Ovis aries: one gene and its partners. The protein of the gene in region 4 purifies or fractionates together with the protein of the main gene of each other region. This does not show direct contact. Links are inferred from orthologs where the notes say so. Each region holds a gene or a part of one and is shown on either strand. Other genes may lie near its edges. The genes, in order: SLMAP, CEP350, PPFIA1, PPP2CB, CTTNBP2NL, CCT8 and PPP2R5D.

Region 1 (4,212 bases), on a different chromosome or scaffold from region 4:
GTATGTACTTTTCAATCATGTATCAAATATTTATTTAGTCACTATTGCGTGCCAGGCATATTGGCCCATTGTTTCAAAGAGACTTATTCTTTTTCTCCCTGGAAACTTATGACGCCGTTCATCAAATACTATATTTATTGTGGTTTTCCTACCAGCCTTCTTGCAGTTCAGTTACCTCCCATAGAAGACCATCTCTGACTCCTTTAGCACCCAGTGCTTGCTTAGCCCTGATTACATCAAAGTGAAGTTATCTCTGTTTGTCACCCTTCTCTCCCCATCCCTATCTCATAGTACTCAGGTGTAATCTCAGAAGAAAAATTTAAGGTTTTATGCACCTACGTGTTTCCAGGTTCAGGACCGAGCTTGGGGCCGGGCCTCAATTCTGTATATACGAATTGAAATGCACTGTCCCTTACTCTTTTATGAGCAAATGGATTACTACCTTGAATTCTCACAACAGGTGAGTTAAGTATTATCTCCATGTAATTGATGACAAAAGGAGGCTTGGTTTAGAAATGTGCCCAAGGTCACACAGTGGTGAAGCCTGTTGTCAAAGGAATCTGAAGAATGAAGTCACCACTGATTCTAAATGAGTATGGCTCTTTTCTTCTATCTTTTTCTTGAAAATTTCGTTTAGATTTAGCGAAGTCTTTCCCTTTTGAGACTAATGACTCCTTATCTACCTTACTATTTTGAGTGCAGGAAATACCTCTGTCTTCATATTCGAAATTGTTCGACCTCTTTCTGGAAGCAACGCGATGTTAACTTTTCTGATATAACACTCATTTCGGGGTAGAATCTGAGTTAGGAGCCCTGGGGGGCAAGACAGGCCCAGTTTACAGTAAGGTCATTTGAAATGGAATGCAGGGACTAAGAAAGTTTTCCTCCGGGCAGGATACCTGGCAAGGGGAGAATGGACCTTAGATGCACAAATCCTAAGGCTTGTGGAATTTAATTGCTCACACCTAGGGCAGCTGTGGGGGACTGTGCTGCCCACAGCTAAGATGGATGCTAATAACATCTCCTTCGGATGAGTTTGTCCTCCTTGCTCGTTGGTATTTTCAACGAGGACTATAGTGAATAAAATGTAGGAAAAGCAGGCGCTTTCTTACCAAGATGGTAAAGTAGGAAGTTGGCAAGTTACGTTTAGAAAACCTTCAACAAGTCAAAAAAATTTTTATTGCCCTTAACCAAAATGGTAGTAAAGGTTGCCCCACGGTTTCGAAGCGTCTAACCCTTAACTAAGATGGCGTGTGGAGGCTTGTTGAAAATTGGCTTGCCCTCTTTTCTGCCCTTGACCAATATGGCTTCAGCGGCTTCGGTCACGTGACGCCGCGACTACGGCGCGGGAGAGGGGGTAGGAGGGCCCTTGAAGGGTGCGCGTTCCCGTGGCGGTGCACCGGGGAGGTTTCAGTCAGAGTCACTATGGCGGCTGGCGCTGGCAAGGTAAGCTGAGGCGGCGGGGCCAAGGGAAGGTGGACCCGTCGCGGCGTCCGGGCTCCCAATCCCCTGAGCCCGTCCGCAGAGAGGTCGGCCGAGGTCGTGGCCAGTCGCGGGGTTTGGCTGGGGTGGGTTGAGAGGGGCGAGGGCTGAAGCGGGCGGGCACCGGCGCCTGACGGCCGTTTGTTTTGATGTTTTCCCCCTCAGGTCGGAAAGTTTCCTGCCTCGTCGGTCACAGCCTGAGCGTGTCTCACCGGCCGCGAGTGGTGGAGGCTGCGGCGGACCCAACCCGGGGCCTCCAGGCCTCTCCCCCAATCTCCGGGCCAGCCTCCCTCCCCCACCTCCTCGTCCGCCCGGAGCTTCGGCTGCTGCCCCTGAGATGCGACCCTCGCGGGGGCGGCCCTGAGAAGAGGCGACCGGTGTGCTGAGCACCAGCCGGGAGCCCAGGCGACCAGGGACCAACTTCCTGCGGCCCAAGACCCCGGAGCCTCCCTCCGGGTCGCGCCTTGCTCGGTTCGCACCCGCCTGCGGAGCCGGATCCCCGCCCTGGTCGCGGGGACGCCCGCCAGGTGCCCGGGAGTCCCGCCTCGGCCGCTGCCCGCGCCCCCGCCGGCCCCAGCTCCTCGTGCCAAGGACCCCAGCCACCGCCGCCTGAGCCCGGGCGGTCCGGGCACCCGGTGCCACCTCCCGGGCGGCCTCCGCGCAGCAGGGGCAATGCAGACTGTCCCGCTGGCCGTCTAGAGCCCTCCGCCGCCTCCTCCATCGCCTTGTCCCACCACTCCCGAGGCCCTCGAGGACGGGCGGTGGCCGCCCAGGGGTGCTCAGCCGCACCTTTCTTCCGCCCGCAAGGACCCTTCTGGCACCGACCCTTCCTTCATGCTGCAGTGCTGCAACATTTCCGCCACCGAGGGGGAAAAGCGGCCACGATCCCAAACAAAACACAAGAATTGGCGTGTGACTCATCTGCTTGGATACCTCCAGCCCCCAAACTGTCTTCCAGGAGTTTTCTGGGCCGAAGCTGTCCGATGTTTGAGCCTTTACTTCCCAGGGAAGAAGATGGACTGAAAGCCGCCAGTTGGGGACTTTTGGGTGATCAAGGCGCTGCTGGGTTTTCAAGGAGGTGATGGGGCTTGCTCTGGCTTGTCTTCCCACCCAAGTGAAGAGTTGTTGATGTTCACTGGTTATGCTTAGACAATGTACAGTTTGCTTTAATTTAAAATTGCGGGGGTGGATAAGGGGGTCTAGGCTTGTGAAGGGCAGCTCGGATCCGGTGGAACTCCTCTTTGTCCCTGGTAGGAGAGACACCCCCAAGTCTGTCCTCGATGCCGTCAGCCTTGGCCATCTTCACTTGCCGCCCGAACTCACACCCGTTTCAGGAGCGTCATGTCTACCTGGACGAGCCCATTAAAATTGGCCGCTCCGTGGCCCGCTGTCGACCAGCGCAGAATAATGCTACCTTTGATTGCAAAGTGCTGTCCAGGAACCATGCTCTCGTCTGGTTTGATCACAAGACGGGAAAGGTAATGTTACTAAGTTGTCTAACAATCGTTGCTTTTCGTTTCCCTTGGCGCTTTCTGCGTAAATGTATGCAGGATCCCAGGGTTTGCACCCAGAGGAGACTTTTCAGCCAGGCGGGGAAACCCAACTTTTTGTGTGCCTGGTTCTAGTGACTGAAATGGAAAACAGAGAAGGAATTGTAATTAAATGCCTCGAGAGGGCGATGGCATCTTGATAACGTGGTCATTCCCAGTGAAATCCTAAACCCTAATGCGTTTTAGAAAGCTAGATAGTGAAACTTGGCTTCTTGCTTTCATTCTTTTCCGAAAGGTGAATTTGCAGTTCAGTGCTTGATGAAGAAAGCAGCACTTCCCAGAGCAATGCAGGGAATCTGTGGCCGGTACTATCCTGGGCTCAAGTGTCTCAGTGATGAGATGTAGTTAACACCATAGCTTTTAACTGAGGACCTTTCTAGCAAAGGGCAGTGTTTGTGTAAATTTACATTTTTAAAAGGTTTGATACGTATTTACCCATGAAGGAGTAATTTGCAGTTATCAAAGCTAATTTAATTAAGCATGAACAACTATAAGTTTATAATTTCAGAGTTTTGTTTGCAAGTTGGGTGAACAGATACCAATTGCTTTTGAAAATCACTGTTGATGTGCCCTTCAGCACTTTTTAAAAACAACTAATGCATACTTAGAAATCATTGTTAAAATTATTTTCTGAAAGTATATCCAGCTCTATCGATTATTGCATTACCTAGATGTTATAGGATGAATTTAGTTCTGATTATGTGTGAGTATTTTAGCATTTTTATGTTGGTACCCTAATTAACTGTACATGTAGATGCTTATGTCTTAATACAAGAAAAAAAAATTGAGTAAAAAGACCCTTTCAATTTTAAAACTATCTTTGTATGTGGAGAATACACTAAAGAGCTCATCTTTGTGCTTAAATCGCAAGTTTTAGTTAAGCTACTGAATCCGTTCCAACTTAGAATTAAGTTATGTAAGACTAATAATATCTCCGGTTTTACCTCCTGACTTTTTGGACCCTCTTGCTGAGTTTAATGATTAGGTCTTTTTTAAAAGAAGAATTTAAATCTTAGAAGAGTTGTGTTTTGAAATGAAGGAAATCTGAGCCTGAAAAGGAAGAGAGAAAGGAATACTCCTGAATCAAGGAATTATTATATAAATTGTTGTTCACAGAAAGGAGGAAAAGATTGCCCAAGTGCTCTGTGCTTGCATAATATCTATATCCTACTCTGTATGT
Region 2 (3,500 bases), on a different chromosome or scaffold from region 4:
TTTTTTTCATTCAAGAGGTTAGTTGAAGTCCCTGGGGAAATTCATTCTTTTAGAGGCATATATACTAGTACATTTGTCCCTCCTTTATAGCTTTTCTATTTGAAGAACATAGGTAATATGCTTCATCCAGTTCTGTGTTTGCATGATTTGAGAATCAGCTTCTCCATAAACTTTGATTCATTTTTCTTAATTTTCTAACTTAAGACAACACTTAAAAAATTATACCAAACTTCAGATTTTTCAATTCAGTGCAGTTGCTCAGTCATGTCCGACTCTTTGGAACCCCATGAATCACAGCATGCCAGGCCTCCCTGTCCATCACCAACTCCCGGAGTTAACCCAAACTCATGGCCATCGAGTTGGTGATGCCATCCAGACATCTCATCCTCTGTCGTCTCCTTCTCCTCCTGCCCCCAATCCCTCCCAGCATCAGGGTCTTTTCCAATGAGTCAACTCTTCGCATGAGGTGGCCAAAGTACTGGAGCTTCAGCTTCAGCATCAGTCCTTCCAAAGAAATCCCAGGGTTGATCTCCTTCAGAATGGACTGGTTGGATCTCCTTGCAGTCCAAGAGACTCTCAAGAGTCTTCTCCAACACCACAGTTCAAAAGCATCAATTCTTCAGTGCTCAGCCTTCTTCACAGTCCAACTCTCACATCCATACATGACCACTGGAAAAACCATAGCCTTGACTAGACAGACCTTTATTGGCAAAGAAATGTCTCTGCTTTTGAATATGCCATCTAGGTTGGTCATAACTTTTCTTCCAAGGAGTAAGCGCCTTTTAATTTCATGGCTGCAGTCACCACCTGCAGTGATTTTGGAGCCCAAAAAAATAAAGTCTGACACTGTTTCCACTGTTTCCCCATCTATTTGCCATGAAGTGATGGGACCAGATGCCATGGTCTTCGTTTTCTGAACGTTGAGCTTTAAGCCAACTTTTTCACTCTCCTCTTTCACTTTCATCAAGAGGCCTTTTAGTTCCTCTTCACTTTCTGCCATAAGGGTGGTATCATCTGCATATGTAAGGTTATTGATATTTCTCCCGGCAATCTTGATTCCAGCTTGTGCTCTTCCAGCCCAGCGTTTCTCATGATGTACTCTGCATAGAAGTTAAATAAGCAGGGTGACAATATACAGCCTTGATGTACTCCTTTTCCTTTTTGGAACCAGTCTGTTGTTCCATGTCCAGTTCTAACTGTTGCTTCCTGACCTGCATATAGGTTTCTCAAGAGGCAGGTCAGGTGGTCTAGTATTCCCATCTCTTTCAGAATTTTCCACAGTTTATTGTGATCCACATAGTCAAAGGCTTTGGCATAGTCAGTAAAGCAGAAAGAGATGTTTTTCTGGACTTCTCTTGCCTTTTTGATGATCCAGCGGATGTTGGCAATTTGATCTCTGGTTCCTCTGCCTTTGGTAAAACCAGCTTGAACATCTGGAAGTTCACGGTCTAATGTATTGCTGAAGCCTGGCTTGGAGAATTTTGAGCATTACTTTACTAGCATGTGAGATGAGTGCAATTGTGTGGTAGTTTGAGCATTCTTTGGCATTGCCTTTCTTTGGAATTGGAATGAAAACTGACCTTTTCCAGTCCTGTGGCCACTGCTGAGTTTTCCAAATTTGCTGGCATATTGAGTGCAGCTCTTTAAGTTATTTTTAAATGTTCTATTTATTTTTAGTATAGTGTATATTCATAAAATAAAAATTTACTACATATGGTAACCTATAAAGCAGGTCATTTTTACTGACCAGAGCTTTTTCTCATCAATATTTGGTTTTTATTTAAACTTTGGTTTCAGAAATTGAAAGGTGTGATTAGACAATTTTGATGTGATTTTTTTTTTCTTCTTCCCCTTTTAAGATGCTGCATTGACAGGTTCTGAAAGATCAGTATCAGAAAAATCTTCATCTGCCTACGCAAAGAGAATGACTGAATTGGATGGTCGGACAGAAGAGCACTTTCAGACTTCTCCGATTCTGAGATCATCAAGGAGGACAAGAGCTGAATCTGGAGATTCTCTAGAAAATGTCCCTTCATTATCTCTTCTTAAAGAATTAAACGCATCTTATAGAATTCTGGATGTATCAGGTGCCAAGGCTGAAGAAGAGTCTAGTCAAAAATCAGAAATACAAGAAGTAGACTATGCAAAATTGGAGGAGAGTGCAATTGAAGATGCCTATTCCAAACAGTCTAGGAAGGCTGATGTCTTCCTGAAGCTAGACCTGGAACAGGGAGATTCATCTGAAATTCTTTCAAGAAAAGATCTTCCTTTAGATTCTATAAATGTTCAGAAAGACTTAGTTAGATTAGCCATTGAAAATCTTCATAAAACAGAAACAAAAGAGGGACAGTCAAATGAAGATATCAGTCATAGTCCAAACATCCAATCAGAAAAAGAGACTCATGTACAAAAGAATATAAAGAGCAGGGACTCATCTTGGTCACAGCATGTACTTGCATCTAAAGAGATGTCGTACTCTGAAGATTTTGATGTATCGTCTTTCAAGAAAGACATTTCAGCTGAATTGTACAAAGATAACTTTGAGGTGGCATCTTTGTTGTCACTCAGGAAAGACTCTCAGTCTTGCAGAGAGAAGTTACAGGCAACAAGCATCTCTAGAAGCAGAGCCACTAGCTTTGGTAGTGATGATGAAATCAGCGAGTGCCTCAGTGAGAAAAGCCTTTCTATTCATAGCAGTGTCCACTCTGAAAGGCTGTTAGAACTCAAGTCCCCCACTGAGCTTATGAAAAATAAGGAGCGCAGTGATGTAGAGCATGAACGAGGAGTTACTGAATCCCCTTCCTTGGCTTCAGCTTCTCTTGCAGATGAATTACTTGATTTCCACATTGGTGATAGGGTATTGATTGGCAATGTTCAGCCAGGAACTCTTCGATTCAAAGGTGTGACTAGTTTTGCCAAAGGGTTTTGGGCTGGAGTGGAGTTGGATAAACCTGAAGGAAATAACAATGGAACATATGATGGCATTGTATACTTTGTGTGCAAAGAGAAGCATGGGATTTTTGCTCCTCCTCAAAAAATATCTCACATTCCAGAAAACTTTGATGACTATGTAGACATAAATGAAGACGAAGACTCTTATTCCGATGAGCAATATCAATATTATAATCAAGAACAAAAAGATACAGAGGGTCCCAAGTCTGACAGAGAAAAGGATACAATTGAATATTTTTATGAGAAATCTCTACCCAGTATGCATGACACAGAAGCCTCAGTTGATAGAAGCCTTAAAGTAGAGACCGACAATATACAGGACATTTCTGGGGTACTCGAAGCCCATATTCACCAGCAGAATTCAGTGGACTTACTGATGTCTTCAGAGAAAAACAAAGACCTTGTTTCTGATGCCACAGAAAAGGTTTCTTCTGTTGTAGAAGACGATACTTTAGATAATACCTTTTCTGAAGAATTAAAGAGGCAACAACAGTTGACTGAAAAGGAAGAGAACTTATATCCCGAAGTTTCAGAAAAGCTTCCTACCC
Region 3 (3,500 bases), on a different chromosome or scaffold from region 4:
ACGGATGGGGGACATGGCCAGCCTTGCCCGCAGAGCTCCTCCAGGGTGAGGGCCTGGTGTTGTCAGAGGGGGAGACCCCCTGCTCCCGGGGTGGATGAGATGCGTGTGAGGAGGGCTGTTTGGACAGTGGAGGAAGAGGAGGTGGACACAGCCTCTTGCTCTGCAGACTGGGCAACGAGGAGGGTGCTGGTGCTGGGACCCGAAGGCCTGGCGCAGTTGGGGGTTCAGAGGGAGAAGCCTGGTCACCAGTCCCCTGCATGTCAGTGAGAGAGAAGAGGAGGCAGCCGGGGAGTAGTAGGGGCCGCTGTGCTCTGAAGACGGGGACCGCAGCGGCTGGGCAAGGGAGGGGTGTCTCCAGGAGGCAGCTTTCCAGGGGTCAGTGACTCGGCGGCACAGGTGGGGCCTCAGGGCTGGCTTCCGGGCAGGGTAGGCTGGCCCAGGCCGGGGGAGTGGGGACTGAAGCCTGGATCAGAGGCAGGGTGGGCTCAGTGTATTTGGCAGGACCTCCCAGTGGAATTGGTCACCTTGTCTCTGAGACCTTCTCCCGGAGGAAAGAGCCTCAGGTGAGGAGGGGGAGAGCGATGGAGGCTGCACTCTGGGAGGGGACTGGGAGGTGATGGTGGGGGGCGTCTCAACCCAGAGGCCTCTGTGGCCTTCAGAGGACCCGCGAGTGTCCACAGTCCCAAGCAGGACTCTGTCGTAGCTTCCACCTGACTCCCAAGTGTGCTGCGGTGGAAGTTGAGCAGAGAAAGGAGCGGTTCCATCAGGAGGGAGGGGAGATGGGAGGGAAGACAGGTGTGGCTCGGGGAGGTTCCAGACTTGCATCTCCTGGGAAACACCGTGCGGCTCAGGTCCGAGCTGTGGGTCCGAGGGCTTTGTGCCGTGGGCGGTCGAGGTGCCGTCAGAAGTGCTGAGAGCGGTGCAGACAGTGTTCCAGGGAGACGGGTGTTTGTGGTCCATGGACGTCACACGGGAGGTGGAGGGCAGAGCAGGCACCGGCCAGAGGGGGTGTGGGTGCCCAGGAGCTGGCAGAGCAGGTGCAGCCCCGCCCCGGGACCTGAGGGTGGGCTCTGGGGGACCGCAGCCCCGAGCACCGGGCAGCCAGCCGCACCCTCGCCTTAGCGCTGCCTTCCCTACATACGGGAGCTGCCCAGCTGGTGGCGCTGAGACCTGAGTGTTCGCAGGGCAGCAGGTGGGCCTGCTGCTGTTGGAGCCAGGAGGGCAGAGCCCGCCCCACGGCCCCTTTTCTGTGAAATTGCCAATTTTCCAGATCGACAGGCTCTGGCTTGACTGACAGAGTGAGCTCTCTTTTCTCCTAACAGCATCCTTCTTTCCCGTGTGTTCCAGCCGACCGCACCTGGGCAGCGTCCCGGACTTCAGGTTCCCTGTGGCCGACGGGCCGGCAGACTCCTTCAGCGGCGCGGCGGTGCTGCGGCGCCCCCAGAAAGGCCGGCTGGCAGCGCTGCGCGACGAGCCGTCCAAGGCAAGGACCCCCCCACCCCACCCCTGCCACCCCGTGCCTATCCCTGGTGGGCACCTTGTGAGGCCCCCGCCCCCGACACTGTGGTCCTGACACGGTTTTGGAACCAAGTGTTGATAGATCGCTTTACGTCTTCGAATTTTCCTTTTTCTGGCTAAGAGTTTACAAGGCATGTTTTTTTTTTTTTTTTTTTTTTTAAAGAACCAATTTTGATAACGTGTGGCTTCCTGTGAGGCCCGGCACAGTACTAATTAGCACAGTTTTGAAACCGTCCTACGAGTGAATGGATCCACACGTGCCTCATGTTTTAGTGAGAAGATTCTCGTTGGAAGGTTAAGCGCCTTCGTATTTTCGCCTCATTCATGGCGTGTGTTTTTTCGTATGTCTCTGTGTTTTGAGCGCCCACGTTCAGCGGGAAGCTAGTTTAGACCAGACGTCGTCGGAACGAGGACTCCAGCAGTGACTTAAAAACCGTGCGTGTTCTTTATCCACTGCTGCGTAACGAACCACTGCAGAGCTCGGTAACCTCGCAGTGAGCAGGCCACAGCCCACAGCTCCTGTCCCTCTCCCAGGCGGGCCTGACTCAGGGCCTCCTGAGGGCGCAGATTAGGGAAGGCTCCCCGGGGCTGGATGGTAGGCTTTCAGACTCAGCTGGCTGCTGGGGACAGGCCCAGGTCCCTGCTGTGCAGATCTCTGTGTGGCCTGGCTTTCCTCGGAACGCCCTCTGAGAGTGAGAGCGTAGGGTGTAGCCCGGGGTCTTTCATGCCCTGGTTCGGAAGCCGCACACCTTCACTTCTGTTTTCGAGCATGAGCTGTGAAGTCCTGCCTCGCTCGGGCTGAGCAGGAGTTGCCCCTTCTGCCTCTTGAAGGGAGGAGGATGGAAGGATTTGTGGACCCCTTTTTAAACCCGCACAGCCTGTCAGACAGCAATGAGCAGGGAAAGGAGACCAGAGTGCCCGAGTTGTCCGAGGAGGAGGGGACGATCGTGTGTGAACAGGGGTGGCCAACGAGGTGACACCAGGAGGGTGACCTTGAACCAGAGACCTGGAGGCGGGAAGAGAAGCCGCCACTCGGAGATAGATCAAGGGTCGAGTCAACCGGCAGGGACAAGGGAGAGAGCGGCCTGGATCAGGGAGGACCCAGGCTCAGGCCTGAGCAGCTCGAGGCCAGAGCCTGTTTGCTACGGTGAGGAGGGCTGCCAGGCAGGAGCTCAGAGCCGGGCCTCTGCCCTGTGGAGGTGGACAGGCCTGTCCAGGGGACGAGTCTGGTCAGCAGCTGAGTGTTCCAGCCTGCATCCGGGAGAGGACTCAACTCAGCTCAAGGTGGACTGGGGTTGCGGGCATGCAGATGGTGTTTAAAGGCATGAGCAAGATAAAGTCGCCAGGCAGGTGCCTGTGGAGAGAGATGAGGTGCAAGGGTAGAGCCGGGGGCCACCCCACGTTCCGAGGTTGAGAAGGGCACAAGGGACTGAGGACGAGCCCCAGGGAGGGTGGGGCCTGGAGCTGAGGGAGAGACACGCTGGGCGGGTGGGGAGGGGGTTTGGTAACACGGGGTCCTTGGAGCCCCCGGGAGCTGCCCTGTGGGGTGGGCCCCCCGCCTGCTTGCAGAGACTGGGCAGGGAGAGGGACAGTAGAGGCCGCTCCCGGGGAGCTCTCAGAGACCCGCGGTGGGCGCTGCAGGCAGCCCTGGAGGAGCAATCTGCTGGTTCCCGTGGTGCGATTTTAAGCAGGAAGAGGGAGAGGACGTGCTGCCCGGGCTGACGGGGGTGAACCTGTAGGCAGAGAAGGGTGTGAGCTGTGGGAGGGGGCGGGCGGCATGGGGCCCAGCGGGCACTCTCTGTGCGTCCCTGATTACAGAGCTGCCTTGCGATGCGAGAGGCTGTCCCCCAGGACAGCCCGAGTGCCTGCGCCCCGGGAGGAGAGTGCGGGGGGCTCGCCCTCCCGTCCCCTGGCTGCCCGTGCTCGCTCCTGTCTGTGGGTGCTCAGACCAGCCTGCAAACGGAGGGCTGGGAACCCGCGAG
Region 4 (4,226 bases):
CGTACTCTCAGCTTTAAGAGCATTCTCTCACATTAATCTCAAACACATTTGCTTAGGAAGGACCTCCCTCCCTAAACACAATCTGTCCTTCCCATCTCTCCTCAAGGTATATTTTGATTCTCAATCCATCTTCTCCAGGAACTCCAAAAACACTATTCTTACTCTCATTTCATTCTGAGCTTGACAGGTTTAGCTGAAACTCAACCTTTCAACCTTTATAGACGAACCTCCTCGGAGACCGCAAATCTCCTGAATCACGGCAGGTATCCTGTTTGTTCAGTACTGTTTCGCCATCTTTTCACGTTCTGTCCTCAACTGCTTTGCTGCTATTTACAAGGCACTTGAGAACAGGAGCTTTCCAGCCATATTTCCCACCATATGACTGACTTCCGACGCTAGGAGTATTTATAGCTTCCCGAAAAGACCTCAGTCTTTCACACATTTGTCCTCTGCCACCGTCCAAAAAACAAATCGGTGTAATTTCTTTTCCCTTCTCCAGGCAACTTCAACGTTTTGCCCCGGGGAGAAAACCTTTCGGTAGCTGTTGCCTAGTAGGGATAGTAAGGCAAGGAACATGAGTTCCATTCTGTACTATCGGATAAGCTCTTGTAGAATTTAATCTTCACAACTTGAAAAGGCAGGCCTTACCGCACCTTTGCAACAAATGAGGACTCAGAGGCTGGGGGCAATCTGGTCATTGTCCAAGGACACAGCGAGGAGGTTGGCGATGCCAAGAGGGGGCTCTTGCCTTCTGATAAAGGATGCTGCCTGCCGCCACTTGTCTAGTAGAGGAAGTATGGTTGGTGACCACCTGCTCTCCAGGGTATCTGGCAGTTAGCAGTTGCTCGATGAACATTTGCTGAGTGAACAAATCAATAGAGCTCAGTAAACACTGCATAAATGTGGTGAAGAATGCTGGAGCTGGAAGGGACAACTGATTGATAATCACAGAGTAATCGATTCGTGTTTCTGATGCCTAAAGGGAGGATTCGAGATGTCGGTGCCCTACAGCTTGCTTAATGACAAAGCTAAGATATGGAAGAATTTACGTATGTATCTGTTTAATAGGTAATGAACGCCGGCTATGGGACAGTGCTAGACTCTGGGGAGACTATGTGGTCAAGGAGAAGCACAAGCTTCCCAGTTCTCTCTCCATAGCGCTAAAAAAGAAGAAGAAAAAAAAATTCTCAGAGAAAAGGACGTAAAGGGAAAAGCGAGGAGAGACTGGTCTGGACCCGAGTGGAGAAGTACGATACAAAAGGGAAAAGCGAGACAGCGGCGCGCCCGTCGGCCTGTTTCTCCGCCGCGCCACACGGGGCGCTGCAGGCCTTCTCGAGTCCCGGGCCCGGCGGCGCCGCCCGCTCGCCTTTTTTCCCGGCGGAAATGCCCGGGCGATGACGGAAAGCCGGAGGGAGGGGAGAGAAAGAGCGAGAGAGAAGGAGCCAGGGAGGCGAGAGCGGCTGGCGGGCGGCAGGCGGCGGGTGCCCATCCTCCGGCGGCAGCTGCGCGGAAGCCCCGCACGTCCCCGCGGCCTTCACCGACTCTCGGGGCGCGCGGGCCGGCGGGCCGGGGCGGGCGGGGGTCTCCCGGAGGCCGCGCGCTCGGAGCCGCCCGAGGGGCTTGGGCGGGGCGCGGGGTCCGCAGTGCCCGGCTCCTCCCTCCCCCGCCGGGAGCTGGGCGGCGGCGGCGGCGGCGGCGGGGGGCTAGGGGAGCGGCGCCCGGGGCGGGGGCGCGCGGGGGGCGGGAGGAGGCGGCGGCGGAGGGGCGGGGGCCGCCATGGACGACAAGGCGTTCACTAAGGACCTGGACCAGTGGGTCGAGCAGCTGAATGAGTGTAAACAGCTTAACGAGAACCAAGTCCGGACGCTGTGTGAAAAGGTGAGCGAGAAGAGGGGCGAGGTGCGGCCGGGGAGCTTCGGCTGGGTGCGGGGTGGGCGGTGCGGGGACCCCTCGTCTTTCCCCTCCCGGGCCGCCCGCCCGCCTTCATCCCGGCACCGGGTCCAGACGGAGCTGCGTCTCATGCTCGGCTTCAGCCCCTGGGCGGGGCCGGGCCTTTCCAGGACCCCTCTCGGGACACAGCCCTTGGTTAGGCCCGGACCCCCCCCCCCCCCCCGCACCGCCCCGGATCCAGACCTAAGGCGTCTGGGATGGGTGGGCGGGGGCTCCGTGACACCTGGAATTCATCACCCAAGTGTGATTGTGGGGTGACCGGCGCTCTAGTGAGGGTTGCTGACAACCCCAGCATTAACCCGGGCGGACTGGCAATCCCGAAGCTTCAGCCGCCAAGCAGATTAATCTCCTGCAGCCTCGTAATGGAAAGTGCACCGAAATGAGCCTGGGTGTTGTGAATTATCAACGCGCGTGGTAATAATAAACAGAGGCTTTTTCTCAGGTGACTCGGCCCTTCAAACATCGCTAATACTTGGTAACGCGTCAGGCATTTGTTTGTAGAGAGGTGGGTGTGATGGCAGACTGTGATTTTTTAAAATAGAAGTTGACTCTAGTTGAGACAGATGGTGGCTGGTCTTCACGTTGAGAGGCTCTTTGGAAGCAAAAATGTTTGATTTTTCAGAAACAAGACGGCAAGTCTTAAGTTTGGCAACAGTGCTTACCTGAAATGATAAGTGGGGTATGTGTTTCTCCTGAAGGGTAGCACTTTTCAGAAGGTTATTTCTGTTGCTGTTACATGTAAGGTTTTTTTTTCATTTCCAAAAAGTAATAAAATATGCAGGTGGTTTACTGTTTTCAGTCGCTCTTGATTGTGTGATCGTAGACAATCTTCTGAATTCTGTATCCATTTTTTTCTTAATCACTGGAATTATTTTGGACTTTACATTTTTTCTCATTCATCTTTTATAGCCTAGACTATTTTTATGTAAAAAGGTCTCGTGGAGGAGTAACAAAATTATTTATTCTTTAATGCTTTTGAATTGTTATTTATTTTTAAGCCATACTCCCTAAGACTTTCTTGATTTTGTTTGGAAAGCAGGATGCTTCAGAAAGGCATTGAAGGAAAGATTTTATTAATATTATTTATAGAGTACCCTTAAAATTAAATGTCTTAGGAATGGAAGAGTTAATGCTAAGTTTAAAATAGTGTTTTATTTTTTAAATTAAGTGTAACGTTGTTTTGGGTTTTTATGTACTAACAATTTTTTTTTAAAAGTATAATGTTGCATTTAAGTGTTCAACAAACTTGTTCAGCTATAAATACACAATATTCTTTTTCAGGTTCTTTTTCATTATAGGTTATTACGTGACATTGGGTATAGTTCTCTGTGCTATACAGAAGGTTCTTGTTTCTTTTACATAAAGTAGTGTGTATATGTTAATCGCAAACTGCTAATTTATCCCCTCCCCATCCCCTTTTGGTAACCCTTAGTTTGTTTTCTATGTCTGTGAGTCTACTAAATAGCTGTGTATTGATACAGGAGGATGTATTTCTGTAAATAGAACTACCAAAAAGTGGTATATTTGTGTTTCTGAGACAAATTGCTTATGGACTGCTTCAGGTTCTGGCTACATTCAATTTTCTTGTGTGATAACCTGTAATTTCACGTTTTAAGATTGATGTTTTAAATCGCTGTCTCTCTCAGGCTTGACTGTCGGGTGAAATACCCAGTTGTGAAATTAGCTGAGTCAGTTAACCTCTCTGTGACTAGTAGACATAGACTTTAAGTGGTGGGCAAAGTTGGTAGTTGAATCAGTTTTTCCCTCTGACTGTCTGATAATTTTAAGACGTCTTTCGGGAGAAGAATGTTGCACCCCTCCTCGATCACACTTGATCCTTCGTCACCTGAGCAAGCTTTCTGAATTTGTCCAGAGAGATTATTTTGACTTCAGCTCCTAAATAAGTTGAACTGCCAGTCCCTAGTTTCTTTGAGGTATATTTAAGCTTATATCTTACCTACTTTTTTCTCTGAATATTTGTACTTTTCCACCAAACACGAATTTTTAAGTGGCAGTGCTTTGTCATTTATCTTTATCCTCTGCTTTTGCCAGGGATGTGGAGGGCTGGAGCAGAGTGGCGTGCCCCCCGCAGCCCCTACCCTTCTCAGCGGTGCTTAGTGTGGAGCCCCTTGCCAGCAGCTGTGGCAAACCTTTGTGGTGTTGATTTTCTGTCATCTAACCTTACAGCTCCATTTTACTTCCCTACCTCTGCCCTCCTTTTTCCTGCTGAGTGCAGCATTTGTTTATAATGGCCAGCCTGCGTTCAGACCCTGGCT
Region 5 (4,193 bases), on a different chromosome or scaffold from region 4:
ATGTCCCTGGCCCTTCATCTTGCCTTTCAGAACACAGGGAATGATGTCTTTCTGAAGTTCTGAATTTCCTATTTGTTACTTCAGAAGCATCTGAGCTGCTGTGAAGCCCTTCAGTACAGTCCTCTTGTCCTTCAAATATACATACAGAGGACATTCTCAAGCCAGCAGTCAATAGAGGGAGACATGGAGCCCATTTCTGTTTCTAATGCTAGTTGGAGGTCATCCAGACTCACTCTCTGAACCAGCCCTCCTCCTGAAAGCCAAGTGTATAGAGAGCAGAATATAGCACAGAGTTGGAATCCACATCCTTGTTGGAAGGTCTTTGTTTTCCATTTACTAGTTCTATGGCTTTACTTGATTTCTCTGAATTTCTCTCTTCTCTGTAAAATAGGCACCAATGGTCTATCTTACAGGTTAGGAAAGATATTACATTTGTGTGCGTATGTGTGCATGCCTGCGCAGCTGTGTTCGACTCTTTGAGACCCTATGGACTGTAGCCCACCAGGCTTCTCTGTCCATGAAATTCTCCAGGCAAGAATACTGGCGTGGGTAGCTGTTCCTTTTTGCAGGGGATCTTCCCAACCCAGGGATCAAATTCATGTCTCCTGTGTGAAGATTAAATATCATTATATGAAAATAACTTGCAGGAATGGCAACCTAGACAGCATATTAAAAAGCAGAGACATTACTTTGCCAACAAAAGTCCATCTAGTCAAAGCTATGGTCTTTTCCAGTAGTCATGTATGGATGTGAGAGTTGGACTATAAAGAAACCTGAGCACCAAAGAATTGATGCTTTTGAACTGTGGTGTTGGAGAAGACTCTTGAGAGTCCCTTGGACTGCAAGAAGATCCAACCAGTCCATCCTAAAGGAGATCAGTCCTGAATATTCATTGGAAGGACTGATGCTGAAGCTGAAACTCCAATACTTTGTCTACCTGATGTGAACTACTGACTCATTTGAAAAGACCCTGATGCTGGGAAAGAGTGAAGGCAGGAGAAGGGGACGACAGAAGATGAGATGGTTGGATGTCATCACCAACTCGATGGACATCTGTTTGAGAAGCTCCAGGAGTTGGTGATGGACAGGGATTCCTGGCATGGGGTCGGACACAACTGAGCGACTGAACTGAATGGCATTAATAGGGCTTCCCAGGTGGCTCAGTGGTAAAGAATCCACCTGCCAGTGCAAGAGACAAGGGTTTGATCTTTGAGTGGGGAAGATCCCCTGGAGGAGGAAATGGCAACACAATCCAGCATTCTTGCCAGGAAAATCCCATGGACAAAGGAGCCTGGTGGACTACAATCCATGCAGTTACAAAAGCGTCAGACCTGACTGAGCACTTATGCAACAAAATGGCATTAATACTGGTTTACTTCCTTCGAACTTCCCTATGTTTGCCGACTGACTACATCCCTCCACCTGACTGCAAACTGCGTGTGGACAGAGCTGGATCTGTCTTGAGACAGTCTGCCTAGGTGAGTAGGAGGCCTCACTACTGCTTTGCTTAATAATAATTGTTAATATTAGAAATAATACATTGAAATTAATTCATATTACTTGTGCATTATAAATAATTGTAAGCATGTATTATATTTAAAGCAATGTGATTATTATTCGTTTAACCAGTTGAACTGGAATCCGTGAAAGGGATAAAGAAATCCAGAAACTTTGACCTCAGGAAGGGATGCACCCTCGCCCTTCTCTGGGTTATTTGGTGCTGGAGGGCTTAGTGCGGGGCTTCCCAGGTGGCTCAGCGGTAAAGAATCCACCTGCAATGCAGGAGATGCGGGTTCGATCTCTGGATCAGAAAGATGCCCTGGAGGAGGAAATGGCAACCCACTCCAGTATTCTTGCCTGGAAAAGTCGATGGACAGAAAAGCCTGGCGGACCCATTGCGTCACAAAAGAGTCGGAGGTGACTTAGCGACTAAACAAGGGCTTGCTGCCACCAGATCTGCATTCCTGTGTTCACGAGGGACAGACATTCCTTGCATCCTCTACTGTCCTTTGTCCCAGCAGGGCTGCGGCAGCCTACAGTACAATGGGGCCAAAGACACAAAAATTCTCATTTGGAAAACAGCGTAGAAAACACTGACACACAGAAATTTTATTCATTCGATTTCTACCTGGAAAGGAAGTCGGGTTGGAAAGCTACCCGGCGTCTCCACTCCAGGGGTTCCAGGGGCTCCAGAAGCTACTATTCTCTTCCAAATATAATGTGAAAAGAGGGGTCTCTGGGTTTTTCATCTTTGCTCCCTTCTCTAGCACACGCTTTGTCCCCCTCTCCCCCGCCCCCCGCCAAAAAAAAAAAAAAAAGTGTGTCGGGGGGTAGAACAGGCAAGCCACGTTACCAGGTTTTCAACAGCAGGTTTTCTAAACACCAGAGCGCACTTCATTTATTAACATTTTGGATGAAACGTTAATGTGCCCAGTCAGTCAGGACACCCGAAACCCATTCCTGAGCTTCCCGTACAACGAGGGTACACACGAAGCACTCGCCACCATCTGGTCCCGAAAGCCCATAGAAGGTGGAAAGTTGCAGAATCCGGGCCCGGAGGGGCGCAAGCCCACCCCGAGCCGGGGCAGGAGGACTGAGCTTCCTCCCGGAAGTGACGCGAGCTCAATCCCAGCTTGGCTCTCCCCAAACAAAAGGGATCTTGGGGCCCCGGGAGGAGCCTAAATGACATTGGAGAAGCCCCTCCTCCAGCCGGCGCGGATTGGTTTCGGGGTTGGAGAGGCGAGGAGGCCATTGGCTCTGCCGAATGCCAGTGCCCCCGCCTGGCTGTTGAGGGGCGGGGCCTCGAGGGGCTGTGGATGGAGAGGGTGGCGGAGGCGGCAGGGAGAGGAACCTTGAGCGCCGGGAAAAGGTAGGAGCCGTTGGCGCCGGGGCTTGGCGGCGGCTGGGAGGCCAGGTTCTCGAAAGAAAAACAGGGGTAGAACCGCCGGTGTCCTCCCGCCACCGTACCAGCTGCCACTCGCGCCCATCCCCTGAGGGGGCGGGGCCGTCTCCTCTACCTCCCGGTATTCCCTGAGGAGGCGGCTCCTCATCCTTCGAGGGTGCTTGCAGCTACTTACTGTCCCCCATCAATCCCAGCTTCCCAGAAGGGGCTGGTTTCCTGATACCCCTCATTTAAAAGGTCCCTCACCTAGCCCCTCAACCTTGGGAGAAGGCGTACAGGTTCCCATTCTTTAGACTGCCGCCCCCGCCCCCATTTTGTACCCCTAGGAGGCCAGACATCTCTTCCAACACCTGTCCTTGCTCGCAAGGGAGGGACCAGAGGTAATTTTATCCATAAGATAAAAATCAGTGTTTTCAAAAAGAAGAGAGATGGGACGATGCAAAAATCAAAAGACCCGACCTAGACAGCCAGCTCCACGGACGAATCGGCCTTCCCCAACTTGGGTTCCTCCCATCCCCCATTCTGTATTCCTGAGCCTTCCCCCTGAATCCTCTATTCTCCTATGGAGCTGGGGCGGGGGCGGGGGGCGGTATCGAGAGTTCCTCTGCTTCGAGACTTTTTGACTCTGGAGGAGGAGAAATAGTAACCTTCCCGACCCCGCTTTGTACCTTTACTCTATTACTTGAAAGAGAACCTAACCTCTGAGGATTGTTTTTTTTTAGGTTTGAGTTGCGTTTCGTTTTTGCTTTCTATCCTATTTCTTCCTGAAAATTTGATGAAAAATCGCCTTTTAGTATTTCACAGTGAATTGAGCGTGTTGTATATCTACAGAGTTGTCGTTGTGGGTAGGAATGCAGTGTATATTGTTGGACTGTCCGTAACAGCATGCTTTCAAGTGAAGCAGTACAGATAACTAAATAAAGAGCTTTAGATTAGGAATGAGTGACTTCCAGTCTAGGTGGGCTGGTCTGTTGCTCAGGGAGACTGCAGTTAACCTTGAAGGTGTAGTTCTTTTGAAACAAAAGGGAGGAAGTGTTTGAAGAAAATTCAGGTTCAGTGGTCTAGGTTTATGATTAATCTGGTCAGGTAGCCTTTGGTTACTCTCTAGCCCCTATTTTATGGTGGGCTTTTTCCTCTAGGAGAAACTGATGTGTAATATATATATATGATGTTGACTGGCTTTACAAGACCAGTATCATCTACCAAAATTCAGGGGATAAAAATTAAAAGCACATTTTAAATTTCAGAGATAAGGATTAATAAAAGCAAGGTAAACTCTAGCTATTCAGAC
Region 6 (4,033 bases), on a different chromosome or scaffold from region 4:
AATAGTCAGAAAAAGAAATGCATCATCACTCAAACCCCTCTCCAGACACCAAAGAAAATCCAGTGAAGAAACAAAAATTTGCTATCCATTCCTTGAAATAACTTTGTAAGAACTCAAAACATACTACCTATTCTTAAAGCCACAGCTCAATGGCTTCCCCTGCCTGCACACCTATTATTTCTTTCCTGCCAATTTCATATTTTTTCAATCAACTTAAATTATATTGACATGTACAAAGACTAAAATTATTTACTTGAAAGTGTGTTTTGCTTATTCCATAAATTTGTATCAATTAATTCAGTTGATGGGAAGCAAGAGAGAATTTTTCTCCCTTAAATTATGTCATTTTACTTAAGAGAACTATTCCACAGCTGTAACAATGGTACTACCTCAAAGGTGAAAGCACCATAACTTTTCTATCCTCTCAATAGGACAAAAAGTAACATTTTGATTACAACTTTTCTAAAAAGATCCAAACTGCTGATTAAAGATTAGGAAAACTGTACAGGAGTTACTGAACTGTGAAATGATTTTCAACACTACAGTGTATTATGGCTAAAATTCTCAATTTACATATAATATCCTCAAACAAGTTTCAAAGAACTACTACACAAAATTATATTATAGTACTGTATTTTTTTTTAAACATGAATTTAGAAATTACCATTTGGTCCATATGCTGTACGAGTTGTTTGGGCCAGCTCTTTGCAAGCCTGTATGTTCCTGTACACAGCCTCTTCTAATCCTGAAAAATGCTGTAGAAGAAAATTTCTGATTAGGCAGGACAATGAATCTCAATAATTTCTTCATCTGTAAAATAATAGTACCTGTCTCAAAAGACTGTTGACATTATCAAATGAGATTTATGTATGTAAAGCATGGTGTTTGGTGTTCCTATGATACCAGATACCATCCTAATTCACAGATTTGTCCACAAGTTGAATGAATAAGGCATGACATTTTTAGGGACCATGAGTACCTACTTACACATCAAAACATAAAGCTTAATTTTTTTTAGTTTAGTGAAAAGTGCAGAGAAGAGTGCTAAGCCTGATTAGAGAAAGCATATGAACCATTGCAGATTATAAAAATACCTTTCCAGAGTCTACCAATTCTTTCTAAAAGCCGAAATGTGGTATGAATGTGATAAAACCTGAGCACTGTAGAGTCAACAGGTCTATGTTCAAAGGGAATTAACATATTTGCCTTATACATTTTTAGAACTAAAGCATACAGATTTTGAATTCTCATTTGAACTGAAACAAACTGTTCGTTTGTACACATTAATTCCAACGTGTATACACTGAAAACTGAACTGCTCACAGTACTCAAATTTTCAAGTTTTACAATGAACTTCTTTTAGACATGGGATTTACTTGTGAGTCTCAGATAAATTTCAAGAGCCTACTGTTCATGTGAACATCTTTTTTCTTACTGTTTTAACAAGTCAAACTCACTTCATCCTCAGTGAGTTTGGTCCCTTAGCCTGAAACATTTCTGCCTTTAATCTTGGCCACTAAGCACAGAGCTGAGTTCTTTCCTTAACATTTTATTTACTGTTCTACCCCAAACTTTCCTTTATAATTTTTTTTTAGAGGCGCACTTTCAATTTCCTTTATCATTATTTGAAATTATCCTTCTGCTTATTTGGTCACTTATTTCTGCCTCAGAATAAAAAAAATACGGCCACTTCCCTTTTAAAAAAAAATTAGTTCATGTCATTTTCAGCAAAGCTCTTTCACCAATACTTACAGTAAACCTCCTTACCTACTAGAGTCACGTTATCCCCAAAGTGCATCCTCGCCAACAAGAAACCTAGTTCCCTCAAACTGTTACCACAAATGGAACCACAGTATCTACATTCGTTTAAGCACAGCAAGTCTGGGTGACAATAAGGGAACGCAACTATTTGAACCTAAGAGACACACTTACAGCAGTGTGTCTAAGACATTAAAAAAACAAACAAAAAACCATGCTGTTGAAATTACTTTCAAGATCTCGCCATAAAACAAAAGCTTTACTTAGCTCAGGGTGTCACTTACTCTGTTGGTTACAACTATTTCCGTCCAATCTCCCCAACTGAAAGATGAGGAAAGTAAGACCCAGAGGATTAAGTTTTACCTCAAGCTGGCTAAGTTCAGAACAGAGCCCATTGGGATTGTAACTAAGATTTATCCTATAATGCACTATTTCTGCTAACTAAATGGGGAGCTCGCCGTTTCTCATTTGCAAGAGTTGCCTCGTCCCTCTCCTCCCTGGACCACCCGCTCCTGGAACCGTTTCGCAGTACTCAAAGCAACCTCACCTACGTTATTTCACCTACTTCGCGCCCCTCAAAGGAGAGCCTCCTCACTCCCGTTTTACTGACGGAGGAAAAATGCAAAGAGCGGCCTTCACACCCTGTAAGGCTACAAAGCAAAAAACGCGCCGCCTGCGGCCTCGTCGTCCACTCGCCGTTTCTGGCCGCTTGCCCCCCTCTCCCGGGTTCATTTAAAAAAAAAAACTCGAAATGCCCGGGGCCCTCCGCGGCCAAGCTCTCCAGAGAACACCTCCGTTTCTGGAATCTTCTTTCCCTCCGACCGCTATGTCGGGTGGGCACGCCGGGCCCGTTGGTAGGCTTTTCTTCTTGACTGCGGCCGCCGCGGCTCTCCCACCTCACTCCCTCTTCCTCCTTTTCTTACCTTCGCTCCCTCCTTGAGCATCTGGGCAAAGCCCGGGGCCTTGGGGACGTGGAGGGCCATGACCAGTCTGCAGGGTGCCGTTCACGCGCCCTCTCAGGAGATCCTGGAAGAAACGAGAGGCGCGCACAGCTTCCTGGGAACGTAGCGTGCGGCCGGCTCACGCCCCTCCTTTCTCTTCAGCCGGTCCCGCCCTTTCCCCCGGCGGCCTAGTCTGTGAAGCCTCGCGAGAAGGAGCAGTTAGCGCCGCCAGAACTGAGTTGACGATTCTCGAGCTGGTCGATCGATGGGGTGGCTCGATCGGGCTGGGCCTTCTGTCTTCCTGCCGACGCACGCGTAGGCTGCCTGGCGGATGTGGCTCGCTCCCGGAGGTCGTTCCCTTCGCTTAGACTCATAGGCTCTGTGCTGGGGACTTTTGAATGTTGTCAGTTTTGTCCTTGAGTTTTGCAACTCCTTCCAAGAGTAGCTTCCGTGTAAATCTTCCAGAGCTTCCCACGATATCAGCCAGGTGGGCACCCCTTTTTTCCCGAGGCCGAGGATCTGCCTTCATCCTCCAAATCTGTGGTTGAACTTGCGCTCAGACTTGGGCCCTGTAGCAGCTCTGGGGACTTGAAGGTGATAAATGAAAATCTGAAAGGAAAACTACGTACTGAGTGCTCATATGTGCCAGGCCCCGTTATTTGCTTTATGTGCGGTATCTTAGCTAGTGGTCAATCTTTTATTAATTACTTTGCAATTTACAATTTAGTTTGTACAAGATCACAGCGCTAGTAGTGTTAAAACTAGGATTTCTACCCAGATTAGATTGCAAAATGCACGTTGTTAGGCAACTGTATTCCTCTTTCCTCCTTTTCTTTTTTCTTCTGTTTTTTGGCCGCCCCACAAGCATGTGAGATCTTATTTCCCCCGCCAGGAGTGGAACCCCGCCCCCCTGCAGTGGAAGCATGATGTCTTAACCACTGGAACACCTGGAAAATCCCTTTCCTGCTTTTTCTTGGAAATATAAACCCCTTTTACTTTCCCACAGTCCTTTAAAACCTGACCTCTGTGTCATCCCACATCAGCACATGACTGATTTCAAAAGACTGAATAATGGCAGAATACTTCAAAGAATAATTTCACACAGTGAAAGTAATCCACTCTCCTAGTAGAAAATATAGACAACTGAATAGAACGTTTGGCTTGTCTTTTGTTCCTTGGTCAGACACTTGCAAATGATTTATTTTCCTTAAATCGGGACAGATTTAGTGTGTCTTAAGGAATAATCAAATGTGTTACATGTACTATAACTTTTTCTAATTAGCACTTAAGTGCATAATTATGAAAAAATATTTTTGCGAGGCATCTCTAACCAA
Region 7 (3,089 bases), on a different chromosome or scaffold from region 4:
GGAGCGTGCCCTCTATTACTGGAACAATGAATACATCATGAGCCTGATAAGTGACAACGCCGCCCGAGTCCTCCCCATCATGTTCCCTGCACTCTACAGGAACTCCAAGAGCCACTGGAACAAGTAGGGAACTGGGGTGGCGCTGGGCAGTGAGGATCTGGTTTTGGAATATGGGAGGGTGGGGATGGACTCAAGAGCCAATGGTCTCACCTGGTCCCTCAGCAAGCCGGGGCTGGTGCCCACTGTATATTAACAGGGCCTTGAGGGACTGACTGGGGAGAAGATACCCACATGGGAGATCTGTGCCACCCAGCACCAGATTAGTGGCCTTTATCACATCTCTTCTTGAGGTCAGATATTCTGCAGCTTTGGAGAGTTAATTCTATGTTGTGAGAAGCTGATGTGATCATCTTAGAATGTATTAAATCCCAGCGTCGTAAAAAAGCTTTCCTGCTAAAAGCAAGTGTGCTGGGAGGCCATTAGTGCTGGGTGGAAGAATGAGAAGTAATGGGAAAGAGTGGGCTCTTGGAGTGCAGGTTTCAGGCAAGGATGGACAGGCAGACCCATATTTGTAAAGGGCCTGAATGCCAGTCTCAAGTCACATGATCTGTCCAGAGCAATGAGCTTATAGCTGCAGAGGCTGATGGGATGGGAGGAGTCTGCTGGAAAGCTCTCAGCAGAGATGCCTCGTGGGAGAATGAACTGAGGCCCTGGCACAGTAATGGTAGTGCCTTCTCTAATCTACCTCATCTTTCTTCCTGGCCGCAGGACAATCCACGGGCTGATCTACAATGCCCTGAAGCTGTTTATGGAGATGAATCAGAAGCTGTTTGATGACTGTACACAACAGTACAAGGCTGAGAAGCAGAAGTGAGTCTCTCCTTGGGGGATGTTCATCTTCCACACCAGCCCCCGTGCTTCTCTCTCAAGCCCATCCAAATCCTGTCTTTGCTCCCTCTCTAGGGGCAGGTTTCGCATGAAGGAGAGAGAAGAGATGTGGCAAAAGATTGAGGAGCTGGCCCGACTTAATCCCCAGGTGAGCTGGTTCTGCCATCGCTCTGCACCGAGAGGTCCCCGCTGGGGGTGGGGGAGGGACAGGGCCACACACCACCCGGGTGGCTCTGGCCACTTGTCCGCCTCCTTTCCTCCCAGTATCCCATGTTCCGAGCACCTCCCCCTCTGCCTCCCGTGTACTCGATGGAGACCGAGACCCCCACGGCAGAGGACATCCAGCTTCTGAAGAGGACGGTGGAGACAGAGGCCGTGCAGGTAGGAGCGGGGAGCACAAAGACAAGACAGCCCTGGGAGGGAGAGGAGGCCGGAGCTGCAGAGCTGGGGACTAAGGGGAGGAAGATGGTGGGGGGACTCGGTCATCACCCCCTGCCCTCTACACATGCACACACAGATGCTGAAGGACATCAAGAAGGAGAAAGTGCTGCTCCGGCGGAAGTCCGAGCTGCCCCAGGACGTGTACACCATCAAGGCACTGGAGGCGCACAAGCGGGCCGAAGAGTTCCTAACTGCCAGCCAGGAGGCCCTCTGACCTCCTCGCCTCCCGCCGCAGGGCAACGGCCCACTCGGCCCTGGGACACTGCCCCAGCCCTCCACCCTCTGCTCCCCACTGGCTGACTTGGGGCAAGGCAGGGCCTCTCTGCTCTGGGGAGGGGGGGGATGCAGCCCTAGAAGCAGGGGCACCCAGAGAGTGGCCCCTCTTCTCCCCCAGAGGTGTTCATGCCTCCCTGCGCCTAGTTCAGACAGGCTGGGCACGGCGGTGCTCCGCACCCTGACAGTGACGTGGGGATGCCTGGCCCCCTACTGCTCCTCACCCCACAGCTACCTGAGGCTGCTCTGAGAAATACACACAGAAATAACACGCTCCTCTCCCCTTCGGCCCCAGGTGCCCCCTCGTCTCCCTCCCTGCAAGCCTGTAGGGGGCAGCAGGAGACGATTCTCACCAAAGTTCTGTCAAGCCCCACTGGCCCCTGGAGTGAATTAGCCAGAGGGGAGCCAACCCCCAATGGCCCAAATAGGCCCCCAGTCCCAGAGGCGTGCAGGCTGATGGGTCTGCATTATTTCCTCTTACCCCTTGCCTGACCAAGACAACATGGGAGGGCAAAAGGAGAAAAGCATAGGCTCTGGACCACAGCTGATGAATAGAGGGCCCAAAGGGACCGAGAGAAGGGGATGAACAGATGCCCAACCCTATGCCCCCTCTCCGGTGAGCAGCAACCCTGGGATCACTGACATGGAAGGGACCACCCCGGGGCTGACTGCTTTCCTGTGCTGTTGGTCCCCAAAGCCAAGAAGGAAGCAGGGAGCAGTGCTCCAAGCATGGCTCCCCCCAACACCTATTTATTTCCTTGTTTATGTTGATGCTGGGCAGGTCCTCATTTGTCCCTTTCAGGTACCTTGGAGGGGTGAGGGGCTGGGGAGGGCCAGACCCAGGTTCCGAGGGCACAGGCAGTGCAGCTTTTGGCTGTGTACATAGGGTGCTTTATTCTCCACAGAATGATACATGCTAAGGTGGGTTGGGCTTGGGCCGATGTCCCCATATGTACAGAACTGAATAAAGTGGGTCTCTGAGAAGAAGTCTGATTTGCCTTGATGTGGAGGAGGGCTGGGGAGGATGGAGATGGATGTGACAACCAGGGTATGTTCAGTCCTGTGCTGGTTCTGGCCTGGAATGTAGGGAGTTACAGCAGCTCTCAGGGTGGTCACTTCCAGGCAGGGGCGGCCTGCCGGGCTTGGAGGGCCTTCTGTACCACATCTTCCCACTGGGCATCTGATATCTCGCGAGCCCAGGCAGGAACCCCTGGCGCAGGCAGGCTTATGCCAGCCATCGTCCTTTTCACCAGTTCTACATGTTCTGAAATCACAGGCAGAGACCCGTTAGTGGGTTGGAACAATGGGACCAGCTCCCCTCCCCATTCGTTGAATTAACTCTGAGATTCTGGACTAGTAAGGTCACTGAATTTGTCCAGTTATTCCTAAGGAAGCCTGCCCATCCTGCCAGTCTAGAAAGAATAGCATTTCACCTGGATTCTACAGTCTGCAAAATCTTAGATTACAAACTATTCTTTTAGGAGCAG

The links.
Region 1: the proteins of PPP2CB (region 4) and SLMAP purify together in Homo sapiens (affinity purification with mass spectrometry; 3 studies listed by BioGRID and IntAct, counting the BioPlex papers as one, with this or other methods). This does not show direct contact. The link is inferred for Ovis aries from reciprocal best matches to the Homo sapiens genes PPP2CB and SLMAP.
Region 2: the proteins of PPP2CB (region 4) and CEP350 purify together in Homo sapiens (affinity purification with mass spectrometry; 3 studies listed by BioGRID and IntAct, counting the BioPlex papers as one, with this or other methods). This does not show direct contact. The link is inferred for Ovis aries from reciprocal best matches to the Homo sapiens genes PPP2CB and CEP350.
Region 3: the proteins of PPP2CB (region 4) and PPFIA1 purify together in Homo sapiens (affinity purification with mass spectrometry; 4 studies listed by BioGRID and IntAct, counting the BioPlex papers as one, with this or other methods). This does not show direct contact. The link is inferred for Ovis aries from reciprocal best matches to the Homo sapiens genes PPP2CB and PPFIA1.
Region 5: the proteins of PPP2CB (region 4) and CTTNBP2NL purify together in Homo sapiens (affinity purification with mass spectrometry; 5 studies listed by BioGRID and IntAct, counting the BioPlex papers as one, with this or other methods). This does not show direct contact. The link is inferred for Ovis aries from reciprocal best matches to the Homo sapiens genes PPP2CB and CTTNBP2NL.
Region 6: the proteins of PPP2CB (region 4) and CCT8 purify together in Homo sapiens (affinity purification with mass spectrometry; 4 studies listed by BioGRID and IntAct, with this or other methods). This does not show direct contact. The link is inferred for Ovis aries from reciprocal best matches to the Homo sapiens genes PPP2CB and CCT8.
Region 7: the proteins of PPP2CB (region 4) and PPP2R5D purify together in Homo sapiens (affinity purification with mass spectrometry; 8 studies listed by BioGRID and IntAct, counting the BioPlex papers as one, with this or other methods). This does not show direct contact. The link is inferred for Ovis aries from reciprocal best matches to the Homo sapiens genes PPP2CB and PPP2R5D.

What each region holds. Positions count from the first base shown.
Region 1 is NC_056072.1:43,586,993-43,591,204, reverse strand, and holds the start of SLMAP (sarcolemmal membrane-associated protein), read left to right. Parts: upstream 1-1,412; 5' UTR 1,413-1,446; intron 1,447-1,647; 5' UTR 1,648-2,762; coding exon 2,763-2,960; exon of another isoform or gene 2,961-4,212. UniProt on the Homo sapiens protein: Associates with the striatin-interacting phosphatase and kinase (STRIPAK) core complex, forming the extended (SIKE1:SLMAP)STRIPAK complex.
Region 2 is NC_056065.1:60,698,403-60,701,902, forward strand, and holds part of CEP350 (centrosome-associated protein 350), read left to right. Parts: intron 1-1,859; coding exon 1,860-3,500. UniProt on the Homo sapiens protein: Plays an essential role in centriole growth by stabilizing a procentriolar seed composed of at least, SASS6 and CPAP. Required for anchoring microtubules to the centrosomes and for the integrity of the microtubule network.
Region 3 is NC_056074.1:43,864,122-43,867,621, forward strand, and holds part of PPFIA1 (liprin-alpha-1), read left to right. Parts: intron 1-1,347; coding exon 1,348-1,483; intron 1,484-3,500. UniProt on the Homo sapiens protein: May regulate the disassembly of focal adhesions. May localize receptor-like tyrosine phosphatases type 2A at specific sites on the plasma membrane, possibly regulating their interaction with the extracellular environment and their association with substrates.
Region 4 is NC_056079.1:26,064,113-26,068,338, reverse strand, and holds the start of PPP2CB (serine/threonine-protein phosphatase 2A catalytic subunit beta isoform), read left to right. Parts: upstream 1-1,426; 5' UTR 1,427-1,776; coding exon 1,777-1,878; intron 1,879-4,226.
Region 5 is NC_056054.1:89,841,108-89,845,300, forward strand, and holds the start of CTTNBP2NL (CTTNBP2 N-terminal-like protein), read left to right. Parts: upstream 1-1,393; 5' UTR 1,394-1,478; intron 1,479-2,796; exon of another isoform or gene 2,797-2,869; intron 2,870-4,193. UniProt on the Homo sapiens protein: Regulates lamellipodial actin dynamics in a CTTN-dependent manner. Associates with core striatin-interacting phosphatase and kinase (STRIPAK) complex to form CTTNBP2NL-STRIPAK complexes.
Region 6 is NC_056054.1:127,699,005-127,703,037, reverse strand, and holds the start of CCT8 (T-complex protein 1 subunit theta), read right to left. Parts: upstream 2,801-4,033; 5' UTR 2,742-2,800; coding exon 2,682-2,741; intron 756-2,681; coding exon 665-755; intron 1-664. UniProt on the Homo sapiens protein: Component of the chaperonin-containing T-complex (TRiC), a molecular chaperone complex that assists the folding of actin, tubulin and other proteins upon ATP hydrolysis.
Region 7 is NC_056073.1:16,645,433-16,648,521, forward strand, and holds the end of PPP2R5D (serine/threonine-protein phosphatase 2A 56 kDa regulatory subunit delta isoform), read left to right. Parts: coding exon 1-123; intron 124-768; coding exon 769-870; intron 871-963; coding exon 964-1,036; intron 1,037-1,152; coding exon 1,153-1,269; intron 1,270-1,405; coding exon 1,406-1,543; 3' UTR 1,544-2,589; downstream 2,590-3,089. Other genes in the region: MEA1 (male-enhanced antigen 1), read right to left, coding at 2,715-2,866. UniProt on the Homo sapiens protein: The B regulatory subunit might modulate substrate selectivity and catalytic activity, and might also direct the localization of the catalytic enzyme to a particular subcellular compartment.